Stegostoma tigrinum: one gene and its partner. The protein of the gene in region 1 purifies or fractionates together with the protein of each later gene. This does not show direct contact. Links are inferred from orthologs where the notes say so. Each region holds a gene or a part of one and is shown on either strand. Other genes may lie near its edges.

The links. The genes of interacting proteins can lie anywhere in the genome.
Region 2: the proteins of huntingtin-interacting protein 1-related protein-like (region 1) and picalma fractionate together in Homo sapiens (co-fractionation; 3 studies listed by BioGRID and IntAct, with this or other methods). This does not show direct contact. The link is inferred for Stegostoma tigrinum from reciprocal best matches to the Homo sapiens genes HIP1R and PICALM.

What each region holds. Positions count from the first base shown.
Region 1 is NC_081379.1:26,516,450-26,524,212, reverse strand, and holds the start of huntingtin-interacting protein 1-related protein-like, read right to left. Parts: upstream 3,276-7,763; 5' UTR 3,044-3,275; coding exon 2,951-3,043; intron 1-2,950. UniProt on the Homo sapiens protein: Component of clathrin-coated pits and vesicles, that may link the endocytic machinery to the actin cytoskeleton. Binds 3-phosphoinositides (via ENTH domain).
Region 2 is NC_081359.1:53,569,598-53,577,204, forward strand, and holds the start of picalma (phosphatidylinositol binding clathrin assembly protein a), read left to right. Parts: upstream 1-4,147; 5' UTR 4,148-4,620; coding exon 4,621-4,750; intron 4,751-5,325; coding exon 5,326-5,409; intron 5,410-7,607. UniProt on the Homo sapiens protein: Cytoplasmic adapter protein that plays a critical role in clathrin-mediated endocytosis which is important in processes such as internalization of cell receptors, synaptic transmission or removal of apoptotic cells.

The sequences.
Region 1 (7,763 bases):
AAAAGGAGGAGGAGAGGGGACCTAATTGAGGTATAGAAGATAATGAGAGGCATAGATAGAGTTGATAGCCAGAGACTATTTCCCAGGGCAGAAATGGCTGGCACGAGGGGGTCATAGTTTTAAGCTGGTTGGAGGAAAGTATGGAGGGGATGTCAGAGGCGGGTTCTTTACGCAGAGAGTTGTGAGAGCATGGAATGCGTTGCCAGCAGCAGTTGTGGAAGCAAGGTCATTGGGGTCATTTAAGAGACTGCTGGACATGTATATGGTCACAGAAATTTGAGGGTGCATACATGAGGATCAATGGTCGGCACAACATCGTGGGCTGAAGGGCCTGTCCTGTGCTGTACTGTTCTATGTTCTATTTATCCTTTTGCCCCTTTGTTACCTTCAACTATTGGTTGGATTTCCACATTACTTGCACTTGCCAAAAGGTGTTCTTAAGCTTGGCACACTTTATTTTCTCATTTGTTGACAATGTTTGTAAAACCTCACATACTTTCAGAGACATGTATTGGTTTTGTATCATACCAAACATATTTTGAATTTTTCCCCATTGGTTGCATGTAGGTTTGTCCATTAATTGTTTAGTCAGTTAATTTATCAGTCACCCCTTTAAAACATACCTTCAAATTTAAACCATTAGTTTGTGCTTCTTCCTTTCACACACAATGTCAAACTCAATCCTATTTTAAATCACTTGTGTGCTTCCTTATGGTTAGATTGCTCTGGTCTGTTACTCTGCACCAGATCCAATATTGTTTGTTCACTGTTATGTTAAAATCAATTTCTTTCTTATAAAATCTTTGCAATAGGCATCATGATAAATACACCGTTAATATCCTTTATTTGCTATGCAAGAGCAACATGGCAGGCTTCATTTTCATTGGTTTCAGGACTAAAATTGTCAATATTGAATGAGTACAACTGTTGTACCCAAGGTTAATCGGTGGACCACATAATAGAGAAATCATGGTAGATAATGTGACATATCGTGGATTTTATTCTATATAGTGCCACACCAATGCATTAACAGCAAGTCCCAGCCATTTAAAAAAAAGGCTTCTACACCAGTCCCCTCAAATCTCTACAGAAAATAGAGACTACCATGGTTGTCCTGCAATATCATACACAGTGACGATGTTGTAATGGAAGTTATCTTCCTCAGTCACTAATTCTGTGTTCAGAGCTTTAGAACAACAGAATAGAGCCAGATAGCTTAATGCACAGGCATTTGACCTTCACCAGCTTTTTATACGACAAAAGCCACATATAAAAACTAAACTAATATGCCATTAATCTATGTACACTTCACGTTACAGACACAACAGGTTTTCAAAGTATCCACCAATTAGACAACAACATCAAGAATTCTTTCTAAACTGACAAATCTATTAAAGTTCAGAGGATAATATGGCAAGTTTAGACTCCATCAGCCTAGTGAGTAAACAACATAAGGTTGTATTGATACTAACTTTGATTCCCAATCTGTGCTCAATTCCCTTATCCCTTATGGATCTGCAGTTAGGGCAAGGCATGGCATTATTGTAGAACATCTAGAATCTCAGCGACTCCATTGATAAACGTGTTTGCATAGACATTGTGAGACAACAGTTTTCGCTCAGCTTAACTGCCCACAGTTGAACAGTTACTAACACCTACGTTTAAGCTCCAACGTAAAAAGAAACAAAGAAGGCTGACACCCACCTATCACCTCAGCTAGAAGCAGCTTCAGGAAAACGCGAACGGAGAAAAATCGGCGGAAAACAAAACTCCAGAGGTCAGAGGGCACAGGGCACAGGGGAGTCAAAAATATGGAAAAAAAGGCCACGGTTCGATTTCTATTCCTTTCACAACATGGACATCGTACACCAGAGGCTGTGACAGAAGCTCATCAACACGTTTTCCCAGATTCTTTCTAACTGGCCGGTTTAGTGCATTTATGTTTCTTCATTAAGAACGATCCAGTATTAGACCCAGTAGACTGCCTTTGACCTTTAAGAGCCAGTTATATTGTTCAAAAATGCTCTTTACATTTTGAATATTAATTCAATGACAGGTCAAGTCCAGATCTTCAATTTCCCAGTGCAAGATCGAGAGCGTTGGCTATCAACCCAGTTTAAAGAAAAAGCAGTGTACCTCAATACAGCAACAATTGCCTTTACTCATAATAGAGACATATGCTAACATAGAATGAGTAGGCTCTGCTTTAGAAAAAAAAGTGTCTGGTGAGCGAGCGAGCCACAGGGTAATAAGCAAATCTGAGTTGATCTACTTTCATCAGTCGCTCCTAGAATTAATTCCGTCCCAATTAAGCAACATAATAGGGGAAATAAACGAGGCCCGTGTTACTGCGGAGATGGGTGGGCAGCATCTCGGGTTAGAGGGGATAGTCGGCTGCTTATTTTAAATGCAAAGATCTTGAACGCAGTTGGTCTCGAATCCGGGCAAATAGATTCGAAAAAAAAGCAGAATTCCGGGAATTACGTGTAGGTCATTATTTGCAGGATCAAAGGTGTAAATACTGGGGGGAGGGGTTCTCTCGCCATGTCGAATCAAGGTTTACGGAAATCGATCGGAATAAACAAGCCGCGCTGTCTGTTTCAGTCGCTGCTTAGTGTCACTTTCAGCCGATTCGTGCCATTCATGATTAGGACCCAGCGATTGTACAATGGGCAAAATCCATCTTAAAACGGAATGCATTCAGTTGCTATCTGGGTCGTAATAAGGTCCTGCACTTCCTGGATAGGCGCTGATTAAGAACTCAGCTTCGTATTCCCACAGCCAAAATAAAACAAAAGGTTTTCAAAGTAAAATGAAAACGATATGAAGAAAGAGATCGTGAACCAACGCCAAAGCTGAGTAAAGAGCAGAACAGTAAGGAGTGCTGAGGTTCACTGGTTCAATAGCACTGATACATAGATAATATATATGTATACATGACTTGCTTTACCTGCTGCCTGTCAAACTGCTCTCTTTCTGCCTCCAGACTGTGCACGGAGCGGCGGTGCAGCACCTTGGCCGGGACCTGTCTGATGGTGTTCATGGTGGACACCCGGACAAGGGATTCTGCTGAGCGCTGATCCTGAGTGTTTGAATGGGCAGCTCCTGTGTGACCCCCCCGCCAGTCCCGATCCCGATCGTGTCCGGACTCAGTAACAACTCACAGGCAGCAGCACACAGTCTGTGTGCATGCTGGGAAACGTAAGACGGCTGGCTGACTGACTGTCAGCCCAGCTCTGACGGTCAATGCTGCCAACTGCAGGGTGGTACAGGGGCAGCTAACAGCTTGTGAAACAACGTCCACGTACGCTGCATGCAAGATAGTGGGGGCGGAAGGTAACAATGTTATTTATAAAATGGATTGAAAATACTCTTGGCTTATTCTTAAGGGTAAACGTAACAACAATTCTGTTTGATCCCCATATTAATAATTGAGAAATCAGGGGACCGTGCAGAAGATTTTTGTCTTCTGTTCCTTGTAGCTTTGTCTGTAATTATGTTACACCATTCAAACGCCCCTACATTTTTAGAATTAAAATAATTATTTTAAATAGTTTGTAAGTATATTTTATACATTTTATATCATACTTTACCTTATAGTACCCAACACCTTTCCTACACGGTCATTATTCTGACGAAAGGCAATATTATTTTAATTATAAGTTAAGAATTTCTATAATATTTTATGTATAATATTCATATTGTTAACACAATTATTTATATTGCAATTAATTTATAATTATAATACCTTTCATTAGAATAATGATTAAGATGAATTGCATTCCACTTCAGAAGAAGCAGGTGGCAGTGAAATTGTATGTAAATAAGGTATCAATGTCTTAAGACCATAAGACATAGGAGCAGAAATTATACCAGTCGGCCCATCAAGTCTGCTCCACCATTCAATCTTGGCTGATACGTTCCTCAACCCCATTCTTCCGCTTTCTCCCTGTAACCCTTAATCCCCTTGATATTCAACAACCTATCTGTCTCAGTCTTAAATGTACTCAATGACCTGGCCTCCACAGCCTTCCGTGGCAGGGAATTCCATAGATTCACCACGCTCTGTCAGAAGACGTTTCTCCTTCTCTCCATTCTAAAAAGTTTTCCCTTTACTCTAAGGCTGTGCCCTCGGGTCCTAGTCTCTCCTACCAATGGAAATATCTTCCCAACATCCACTCTGTCCAGGCCATTAAGTAATCTCTAAGTTTCCATTAGATCCCCCCTCATCCTTCTAAACTCCAATGAGTATAGTCCCAGAGTCCTCAAACATTCCTCATATGTTAAGCTTCTTATTTCTAGGACCATTCTCAAAAATCTCCTCTGAGCCCACTCCAGGGCCAGTACATTCTGCATGAGATATGGGGCACAAAACTACACATAATACTGCAAATGTGGCCTGACTAGGGCCTAATAAAGCCTCAATAGTACATTCCTGCTTTTACATTCATTTTGTCTCACAATAAATGCCAACATTGCACTTGCCTTCTTGATACTGACTCATCCTGAAGTTTACCTTGAGAGAATCCTGGACTAGAACTCTCAAGCCTCTTTGTACTTCAGACTTCTGAATTTTCTCCCCATTTAGAAAATAGTACATGGTTGTATTCTTCTTACCAATGTGCATGACCTTATACTTTCTCACGTTGTACCCCATCTGCCACTTCTTTTCCCACTCTCCTGACCTGTCCAAATCCATCTGCAGCCTCCCCACCTCCTTCCATACTACCTGTACCTCCACCTATCTTTGTATCATCTACAAACTTAGCCAGAATGCCCACAGTTCCTCCATCTAGATCATTAATGCATAAAGTGAAAAGTTGTGGTCCCAACACTGACCCTTGTGGAACACCACTTGTCACTGGCTGCCATCCTGAGGAAGACCCCTTTATCCTCACTCTCTGCTTTCTGCCAGACAGCCAAACTTCTGTCCATGCTAGCACCTTGGCTGTAACACCATGGGCCCTTATCTTACTCAGCAGTCTCCTGTGCGGCACCTTGTCAAAGGCTTTCTGGAGGTCCAGGTGGAAAACATCTATTGGCGCTCCTTGGTCTACCCTGCTCGTTACTTCCTCAAAGAATTCTAGCAGATTTGTAAGGCATGACCTCCCCTTGATGAAACCATGCTGACTTTGCCCTGTTTTACTATTCACTTCCAAATATTCAGAAATCTTATCCTTCACAATGGACTCCAAAATCTTACCCATGACTGAGGTTAGGCTAATAGGCTTGTAATTTTCCATTTTCAGAGGAGACAGTGAGAAAAACTGATAAGGTAGTGGGACATTAGTCATCTTTGGTTCCATTCTCATAAAGAAAGTTTCAAAATCAAGTCCATTCATTTTTATTATATAACACTCGTACTTTAAGTTACCACAATTTTAGCACCTGCATCTCAAAGAGTCTAAACTCAATTCAAATATCTTGCAGGTACTACTTTACTGCTAATGCATTCTTAGAGATTGAACCCATGGTTTAGCTAATAATGAAAGTTATGAAAATGAACTGATCATTGTATTTGAGCAGTTGTATGGGATCATACAGTTTTGAAAAAGATATCGTACACCCATGCCCTTGGATGACGTATTTCAAAGTTAAATAGACCTAAAAATTAATAGGCCGAAACATTGATCATCAAGCCTCCCGTCAAAATGTTAGTGTAACACTCGACCTGCTAAATTATCAAAATCCCACTAAGCACTGAAGATAGTCAGCAACAACTTCTATTTATAATAGCACCTTTGACATAATAACAGATCTCAAGATGCTCGCAGCAGCTTTATAAAGTCAAATCTGGATAATGAATCACATGAGGCTACATTGGGGTGGATGAGAACGTGTTTAGTCAAAGAGATAGGTTTAAAGGAGTGTCTTAAAGGAGAAAATAAATTTAGAAATTTGGAGACATGTTGGGAAGGATTTCCAGAGTTTATGGAGTAGACTGCTGACAGACATGGCCATCCAAGGTGGAGAAAGCAAAATCTAGGTTGCTTAAGCCCAGAATTAGTTGACTGCAGATATCCAGGAGGGTTATGGGGCTGGAGGTGATTGTTACAATAGGAAGGGCAAGACCATGGAGAGACTTGATAACAAGGATGAGATTTTTAAAATTAAAGTGTTGCTTGATTTAGAGCTAATGTATGTCAGAAGGCATAGAGGTGATAGGAGAACGGGATTTGTTCTAAGGGGAGTTTAGCATGGTCTCAAGTTTACAGCCAGAGTGCATTGGAATAATCATGTCTACAAGTAGCAAAATTGATGAGCTTCAGCATCAGCACAGTCAAGTCTGAAAAAAGTCAGCTGAACCTATAATTCTATGGAAGTACATTTTTGTACACTCAAAATAATACAAATTCAAAATGCTGTCTCTGATTATTTTGCAAGCAGTAACTGCCTTAAACCCATCTAATTCTTTCCAATTCTCACATCAATCTTCAGGGTTTCTGCTTGGCAGGACAATCTTCTGCATTGAAAGCTTTTTATGGCAAAGAATAATAATGAAAAAAACTTGAGATTTTACTGTTTTCTGACAACACACCAGCAGGATCAACAAAAAAAGAGAACAAATAAATATAAAAGCTATTAAATGTAAGTGTTTTCTTTATAAATGGCATGAAAATTAGTTGGAGGTCCTGCTACAGGAAAAAACTGACCTGGAGATTGAAGACTGATGCTGTACTAAGCCACACGCACCCTAACTTCCAGGTTGCTTTGATTTAGCTTATTAAATCCACTTAATTACCCCGACCAGGTCTTAGAAATTATCATTGTCCAAACTGGGTAAGATCAGGTGAGTTATAATTTCATGATCAGCATCCATTGATCACAATTTTTAAAAAAGGTTGTTCATGGTTTGTGTGCATTGCTGGCTCGGGGCACATTTATTGCACAGATGACAGTTAGGTCAACCATGTTGCCATGGGATTTTTTAAAAATGAAATTCACTTGTGGGATGTGGACAATCACTAACTAACCAGCATTTTATTGACTCTCTTGTGTGCCCTTGAGAAGGTGTGATAAGCTACCTTCTTGAAGTGTTGCAATCCACAATGCCCTGAGGGAGAGAATTCCAAGAGTCATACGTAAGCCAGACCAGGTAAGGATGGCCAGTTTCCTTCCCTAATGGATTTTAGTGAATCAGATCTTTTCTTACAACAATCACAGTGATCACCATTAGGCTAGCGTTTTATTCCAGACTTCTTTAAACTGAATTCATACTTCACCATCTGTCATGGCCCCACGTCACTAAATATTAATCCAGGGTTCTGAATTACCACATCATCGTCTCCCTGTGAAATATTGGTTTCTCAGTTGGTAAGGCTTTCACCTTCCAAGTACCATACAGTCCCCACACACTTGGAGAATTACAGCCTAGCATAGAAAATGCTGTTGGCAGTGCCAATAAAAACACGCCTGACAGGGAATGAAAGACAGTACTGTTGGCTTAGAAATCAATGATAATGCGGGTTTGGACCAGAAGACAGGAGTTTTACTGGCAGTGAGAAATGGACGACAACACATTGCTCCCTTGTGAGTGCCTGTATGTCTGCTACGGGTTTCATTCCCCAATTACAGACAAACACCCTTTGCCAATAGGTTTCTCAGCACGATTTTCTTTTCAGATGGAGCTACTGCTTGGGGTTGGGGTTAAAATATGATCTTATGTTCTCATCTCTGACCAAGTTAATTTACTGCTCTAGCAAGGTTGGAGACTGGCATAAAAATCTAACACAAGGAAAAAGTGAATATTCAGCTTGCAAAGA
Region 2 (7,607 bases), on another chromosome or scaffold:
CTCTGTCTGTAGCAGATATTTAATGACAGCCACTGGGCATGATGCATTACTGATGTAGCCTCTCCATTGTCCTGTGCTGCTGCTTTAAAAAAAAGATACCTGTTCTTGGTGAATTTCTGCTGTGTTACTGCCAAAATTTGTTGGCACTCCCAACAGTTGGCACTAATTTACCGACTGTTCCTTGATCATGGAAGGACTAGGCAACTGTGCAGGAGTGGGCATGTTGTGCACTTCTGCTTCATCAAAGTCATCCTTCCACCTAGTTTGAAATTGTGGACCACGTAATAATCAGAGCAGAGATGAGAGGGCTAAATGATTCTGGTGAAACTTGAACTAAACGTGATCAGTTTCATTTATGACTTTTGATGACATTATTGATGACTGCTTCCATCACTTTACTGACAATTGGGAAAAGGTTGAGAGGCGATAACTGGCATTTAATATTTATCCTGTTTTTATGGATAAGGCATACATGATTAACACTTCATGTTCTGAGACAAATGTTTTGTCATCGTAATACTGGCATAGTTTGACCAAAGTGGATGGATATAATGCATATGTCTTTATTGCTACAGCCAGAAAATTATCAGCATCCAAATCCTTTGAAATGCCCACTGTAGTGATTATAACAAGGTCAGCCAGATGTGAACTCATAGAATATGAGTTCCCTCATTGGGGCTGTTAGTCTGGTCCAATCAGGGATCCTTCGCTGACAAATATAAGCAGGAGTGTCAGAGGTTCTGTTCAGTCTGAGAGCTGGCCCTGAGGAAGTCATATCAGTGTCAAGCACTATGCATGTGGAAATAAAGGGTCACTTAGTGATGGGGGATACCAGCTTCTGTGGAGTTATTGCACCCAGTGTACTCATTTTTCTTAATGGTACATGGAATGAACCACCTTGGTTGGATACTGACACACCATCATATGGTGGAAATCTGGGAAATGTTATCTCCTTGCTATGTTTTGGCTGAAAACACTCAAACTCTTTATTCTTACATCTTACACTCACAAGTTGATAGTTACCATAGAGTTGTAGAGTGCTAGAGTTACACACTAGAGAAACAAACCCTTCGTCCAACTCATCCATGCCAACCAGATGTCCTATTCTGATCTTGTCCAATTTGCTGGAATTTGGCCCAAACCCCTCTAAAGCCTTTATGTTCATTTATCCATCCAGATGCCTTTTAAATGTTGTAATTGTATCTGTCTCCACCACTTCCTCTAGCAAATCATTCCATACATGCACCATCCTCTGCATGAACAATTTGCCCTTCAGGTTCTCTTTAAATATTTCCCCTCTCACCTTAAACCTATGCCCTCTAGTTTTGGACTCCCCTACCCGAGGAAAAAGACCTTGGCTGTTCACCCTAACTATGCCCTTCATGATTTTATAAACCTTTGTAACATCACTCCTCAGCCTCCAATGCTCTAGAGGAAAAGAATCAGCTTCTCCCTATAGTTCAAGCCCATCAATCCTGTAAACATTCTCAAATCCTTTCTGAACCATTTCAAATTTGACAGCAACCTTCCTGTGAAAGGGAAAGCAGAATCGAATACAATATTCTAGAGATGGCCTAATCAATGTTCCGTACAGCTGCAACATGATGTCCCAGCTCCTATACTCAATGCGCTGAACAATAAAGACAAACGTGCCAAACACCTTATTTCCTACCCTGTCTACCTGCGACTCCACTTTCAAGGAACTTTGCACCTGCATTCCTAGGTATGTTTGTTCAGCGACACTCCATAGGGCCCAACCATTAACTGCGTATGTCCTGCCCTGGTTTGCCTTACCAAATTGCAACACCTCACATTTATCTAAATTAAACTCCATCTGCCACTCCTCTGCTCATTGGCCCATCCAATCAAACTCCCTTTGAACTCTGAGGTAACCTTCTTCACATTCCATTACACCACCAATTTTGGTATCATCAGCAAATCTGCAAACCATTCTCGTATATTTGCACCCATATCATTTAAATAAATGATGAAAAGCAATAGACCCAGCACTGACCCTTGCGGCATACTGTTAGTCACAGGCCTCCAGTCTGAAAGACAACCTCTACAACCAGCCTCTGTCTCCTACTTCTAGCCAATTTTATATCCAGATGGCTAGCTTTTCCTGGAATCTATGTGATCCAACCTTGCTAATCAGTCTACCACACAGAACCTTGTCAAATGTCTAGCTGAAGTCCATGTAAACAATGTGTACTGCTCTACCTTCATTGACCTTCATCACCTTTTCAAAAAACTTAAGCATTAGTGAGATATGATTTCCCATGCACAAAACCATGCTGACTCTCTGTAATCAGTCCTCGCCTTTTCAAGTGCACGTAAATCCTTTTTCTCAGAATCCCCTCCCACAACTTATCCACTACTGAAAAGAGGCTCACTGACTTGTAGTTCCTTGGGTTTTTCTTATCACCTTTCTTAAGCAATGGCACCACATTAGCCAGCCTCCAGTCTTCTGCCACTTCACCTGTGGCTGTCAATGATGTGAGTATCTCAGGAAACGTCCCAGCAATCTCTCCCCTAGCTTCCTACCATGTTCTGGGATACACCTGATCAGGTCCCAAAGATTTATTTATCTTAATGCATTTTTAAGACCTCCGGCACCTTCTCTTCTTTAAAATGGACGCTTTTCAAGATGTCAGTATTTATTTCCCAGGGTTCCCTAGCTTCCATATCCATAGTTGAAATTACAATTGTTCACAGGGTTCCTGCAGCTTGATCCTGACCATTCTTTACTGTATGTGTTAGGCTGCCAAAGCTCAAATAAACTATGCCAGGCCCTTTAGTAGAAAATACATATTTGTGGGAAATGGATCTCTTGAGTAGGTTTTCTCAATCTGATACCCCTAACATCCTCGGGGCTTCCTTGAATAGGTTTCATGTACATATGCAAGGTCAAGAGGGAATCAAGGGCTACGAGCAACAGGAAAGAAAGTAGAGCTGAGAATCACCATATCATCCATGAGTTTATTGAAAGTTTGGGCATTCTCAATGAGCTGAAAAGCCTACTTCTGCTCCTACGTCTTATGGTCTTGTACTTATTACTATCATGCAATAAACCAGCTTGTTAACAAAGAACGGTGCCTCTTCTGCATGGACACTTCATCTGATATAACCTCTACCAGTGATCATTTGATAGGTCCTTGATGAAGTATAGACAAAGGGAATTGATGGTAGTGAACCATCTCAAAATACTCTTAATTTGAACCACACAATAGCAGAGTTGGCAGATATCAGAAGATGCCAGTTGTTGTAATCAGGTTACTCTATAAGCACAATTCTCTCCATGTCCATGTTATCTTTACCATTCTGAATTCTCCAAACTACCATCTGTGGGTGAGATTTCACTCTTCCCAACCCCAAATTGAATTATCACCAGTTGTTCTATTGGGAAGTGTGCCCAATATTGTACATATAACTTACATTTTAAAAAGCAGTTATTTTAAAGTACTTTAAAATTGAAAGTATAATTATATGAAGAATCTTTGCTTAGTACAACTGTTAAGAGAGAATCTTAGCCAAGAAGTGGGAAAGATTGGAGGATATCAGTCGAAGTGTAGGAAAAACAACAGTAATGATGAAATACTTGTCTGAATTTCTAAACAGAAGACGCACTTGTGTTACAGGTGATCAGTGGACTTTTTTTTAAATGTAATAGGATGGTGGGGGTGGCTCAGAAGGAAAATAAAATTGTAAACCCCTGCTCTGGTCTGAGAATTGTTAACAGAGCCAGTGTTTCAAAAACTGTTAAACGAGTTTTTAGGCAATTTCATAAATCTGATTGGGTGTAAGCTTTCACAATCGCAACGGATGATTTTATTTGCGAATCTTTTAATTTCTGAATACAAACATGTTTTCCATTCGAAACAAAATTTGCGCTCGTCTTAGCTGCTGAGTTTAAGTATTCCATTTCAGCTGTCAATTAATTCCACGAATAAAAGGCAAACATTTGAAAATTACTTAACATGGAAAACAAATTCAACCAGCTAATCATTTTGTTCTCGAAAATAAGGTAAGCCTCTTCAAGACAATCATCTTCAGTGTGCGATCTGTATTCTGCACGAAGCTGATCGTGTGCAAAAAAACTGTACACGTGTAGACAGATGTGCATAAATCCAGATGCACGAATGGAAACGAAAAAAAGACTCTCATCTGGCAGAGGCAGACAAGGGAGGGAGGGGCAAATTTTGCTGGAAGTAACAGTGGTGTCAGGCTGGGCTGTGGGAGGAAAATTCTGGGACTGGCTGATGGGGCTCAGACTGGTACGAGGTTGGTGGATGATCACATGATAACAATCCAGTGGGTAGGAGCCTGGTTCAAACCCGCCATTTTCCTGGAACTCCTGCTCCTTTTCGGCAGAGGAAGAAAGAGGATTTGAACCCTGGGTGGCGACAGCTGTCCAAGTGACCGCCTGTAAATTAGAAAAGCTTGGAGCAGCCCGTCCGCTCGGGGCTTTTCCTTCCTGGGTTTTCAGTTTACTTTTTCTTGTTTTTGGTTGTGTGTATTTTTATTTCTAACCTTTCTTCTTGATTTGCTTGGCCGGGGTGGCTCCGTGAGAGGGATTTAAACCCCCTCTGTGCGTGAATCTGCTGCTGCCGAGGAGGGAAGATGTCGGGACAGAGTATCACGGACCGTATTGCTGCGGCTCAGCACAGTGTCACCGGCTCGGCCGTCTCTAAAACCGTTTGTAAAGCCACCACACACGAGATTATGGGCCCCAAGAAGAAGCACCTAGATTGTAAGCACTTCCTTCCACATTCTCAGAGTGAAAAATGAAAGCGTGTCCCGACCCAGCCGCTGCCATCCTGCTTCCTGGGTTTAAATTTTAACCCGAACAGAATGAGATTGAAGCTGGTGCCGCTGCCGTATGTGTTGTTCGGGGAAAGTGTCTAGTTTTCTTGCGGTACCAGGCCCCAGATAACGCCCTTGGCCTTGATTTTGCCCATTGGACTTTCGGTGAATTGATGCGTGCATGTTAATTATTTAGTTACTCCAGATTTTTTAAAATGAAGTGCATTTTGCTGGTCGGGACTTTGTGGTAGGAGGGGCCGGGGGTTAAATCTCAGGGGCTCGCATTTTTGCGGTCGTCTTGTGATGTGGTCACTGTGGTTATACATCTGAAAGCTACTAAAGACAGAAGTTACAGCTCACCTCATGTCGATGTTATAGTGAATCAGCAATTTTCTTACTATTGCAGTGATTTTTAAGCAAGTTGGCATATTTGTCAATTTTATTGATGCAACAACGGATTTATTTGATTGCATTTAAACTGTAGTCTTGGTTATATTAAAGCGGGTAGTGTGCCTTCTCTAGCAGCTGGCCTACTATTTGGGAGTGCAGCTGGGTTTGGTGCTTACCAGATCACTCAAGACCCCAAGAACATGTGGTTGTCTTTAAGTGAGTAATCTGATCACACTTCTAATGAGTTTGTTTGTATATTGTTTGTACTTTTTATTGTTTGTACTTTTTACTGTTTTGTAGGGATGGTGTGTGCATTTATAATATGCAAGTTTAAAAGAATAACTTGCTTCTGTCTTTGTACGATATTTTTTGCAAAAATATACTTTATTTGTAAAATATCTATAAGTAGGTTATAAATCAGTTCAAATTGGATGTAACAGAAAATGTAACAAAATATCATATTTTGCAGTCGAGCATTTATACTCTTATTACCTAATTCCAAATGCAAAATTGGAACAGACACAGAATTTGACAAGAACTATACATATCTATTTAAGTACACAACCCAATGGGTCCAGTAAATGGACAGCCCCTTGGTACAGCATGCCAAAAAGAATTTAGACACCGACCCTCTCCACAGCATCTTGGTGACAGCAGCTGCAAGCCTTAGTGCATCCCTCAGCATGTGGTCCTGGACCTTGGAATGCACATGTATGCAACACGCAGCCGAGGACAACTCTTTGTACTGAAAGGCCAACAGATTTCAGGCAGACCAAAGAGCATCTTTCACTAATTTGATGTAACTGGCATGGGAATACATTATGAATGGTAGGACCCTGAAAAGCACTGAGGATCAGTGGATGCTTTGGAGAGGGTTCAGAGGAGGTTTACCAGGATGCTGCCTGGACTGGAGGGCTTATCTTATGAAGAGAGGTTGACTGAGCTCGGTCTCTTTTCATTGGAGAAAAGGAGGAGGAGAGGGGACCTAACTGAGGTATACAAGATCATGAGAGGCATAGATAGAGTTGATAGCCAGAGACTATTTCCCAGGGCAGAAATGGCTAGCACGAGGGGTCATAGTTTTAAGCTGGTTGGTGGAAAGTATCGAGGGGATGTCAGAGGCAGGTTCTTTACGCAGAGAGTTGTGAGAGCATGGAATGCGTTGCCAGCAGCAGTTGTGGAAGCAAGGTCATTTAAGAGACTGCTGGACATGTATATGGTCACAGAAATTTGAGGGTGCATACATGAGGATCAATGGTCGGCACAACATTGTGGGCTGAAGGGCCTGTTCTGTGCTGTACTGTTCTATGTTCTATGTTCTATGTTCTATTTAGACACTATCTTCAATTGCCTGGGAACTTTAGTTTTCTCATAGACTGAAGCAGTGCATAAGTGTCCCATATTGGAACTAGCTTGCTGTTTCTGAACATCAGTCTTTTATCATGTTGGCTTTTCTAAAATGTACAGCTCTTGGTGTTGCCTGAATCCAGTACAATACTGTGATTCTGTTTCACTTCCTTCAACATAATTTTTAATGTGAGCTCTGCTGAGCAGCAAGAATGCTTTTTTTAGTTACTGTTTCTGAAATACGTTGAAGAGATCTGAAACATTTTTACTCCCATTCGTGAGAAGTATTTGAAAGGAAATTATAAACTGAGTCTGGAAACTCAACCCAAGCTGCTGCAATAAAGTGGAGAACTAAACAACATTAGAAATTTTAAAAATTGACTTCTAACTTCCAGTGATGGATCCTTCAGGGACAACAGTGACCAACAGCTATGCTGCTCGGGTTTCTATATCTAGTTTATTTTAAATAATTTATGCTGTACAGTAACTTTTAGGTTTTTACATTTTAGTGTGATCAGAATGCTCTTTGCTTCCAGGCTATGGTAGTCCAAGAGTTTTGAGTTTGAAGAGGTAAATGAGCAAAATTGATATCATGGGAGAAAATCAATTTAGTAGTTTTTAGTCTTTTTGTTTTTGAAAGTAGTGACAGTTTTTGACAGCTGCTACAACTTAACATCAGGTGCTGGGAACCTGTTTGTTTGTGTCAACAATACCTGGAAAGCATTTCTTTGGAATATTGACTTGCGTGGAGAGTGGAAGTTTAACCTTTTTTCTCCTTTTTGTAAAATATGGGCTAATTGGATGAATAGTTTCCAATTTATTAATCTCTTGGTAGTTGACCTGAGTAGTAACAAAGTCTTAAACAAGTGAGTTCTTTTATTCAGAGAATGAAACAAGCAAAAAGATTATAAATTCATTGGTTTTCTAATTGATCTACAGTTTGTGGTCCTGAAATTCCTTATTCACTTTGTAATTTGAAACATGAAAACATTTGCCAGTTTTGATAATCAAAAATAACATGCCCAATTTTAAACCTACTTATCTGACATATTTTTGACACTTGGATT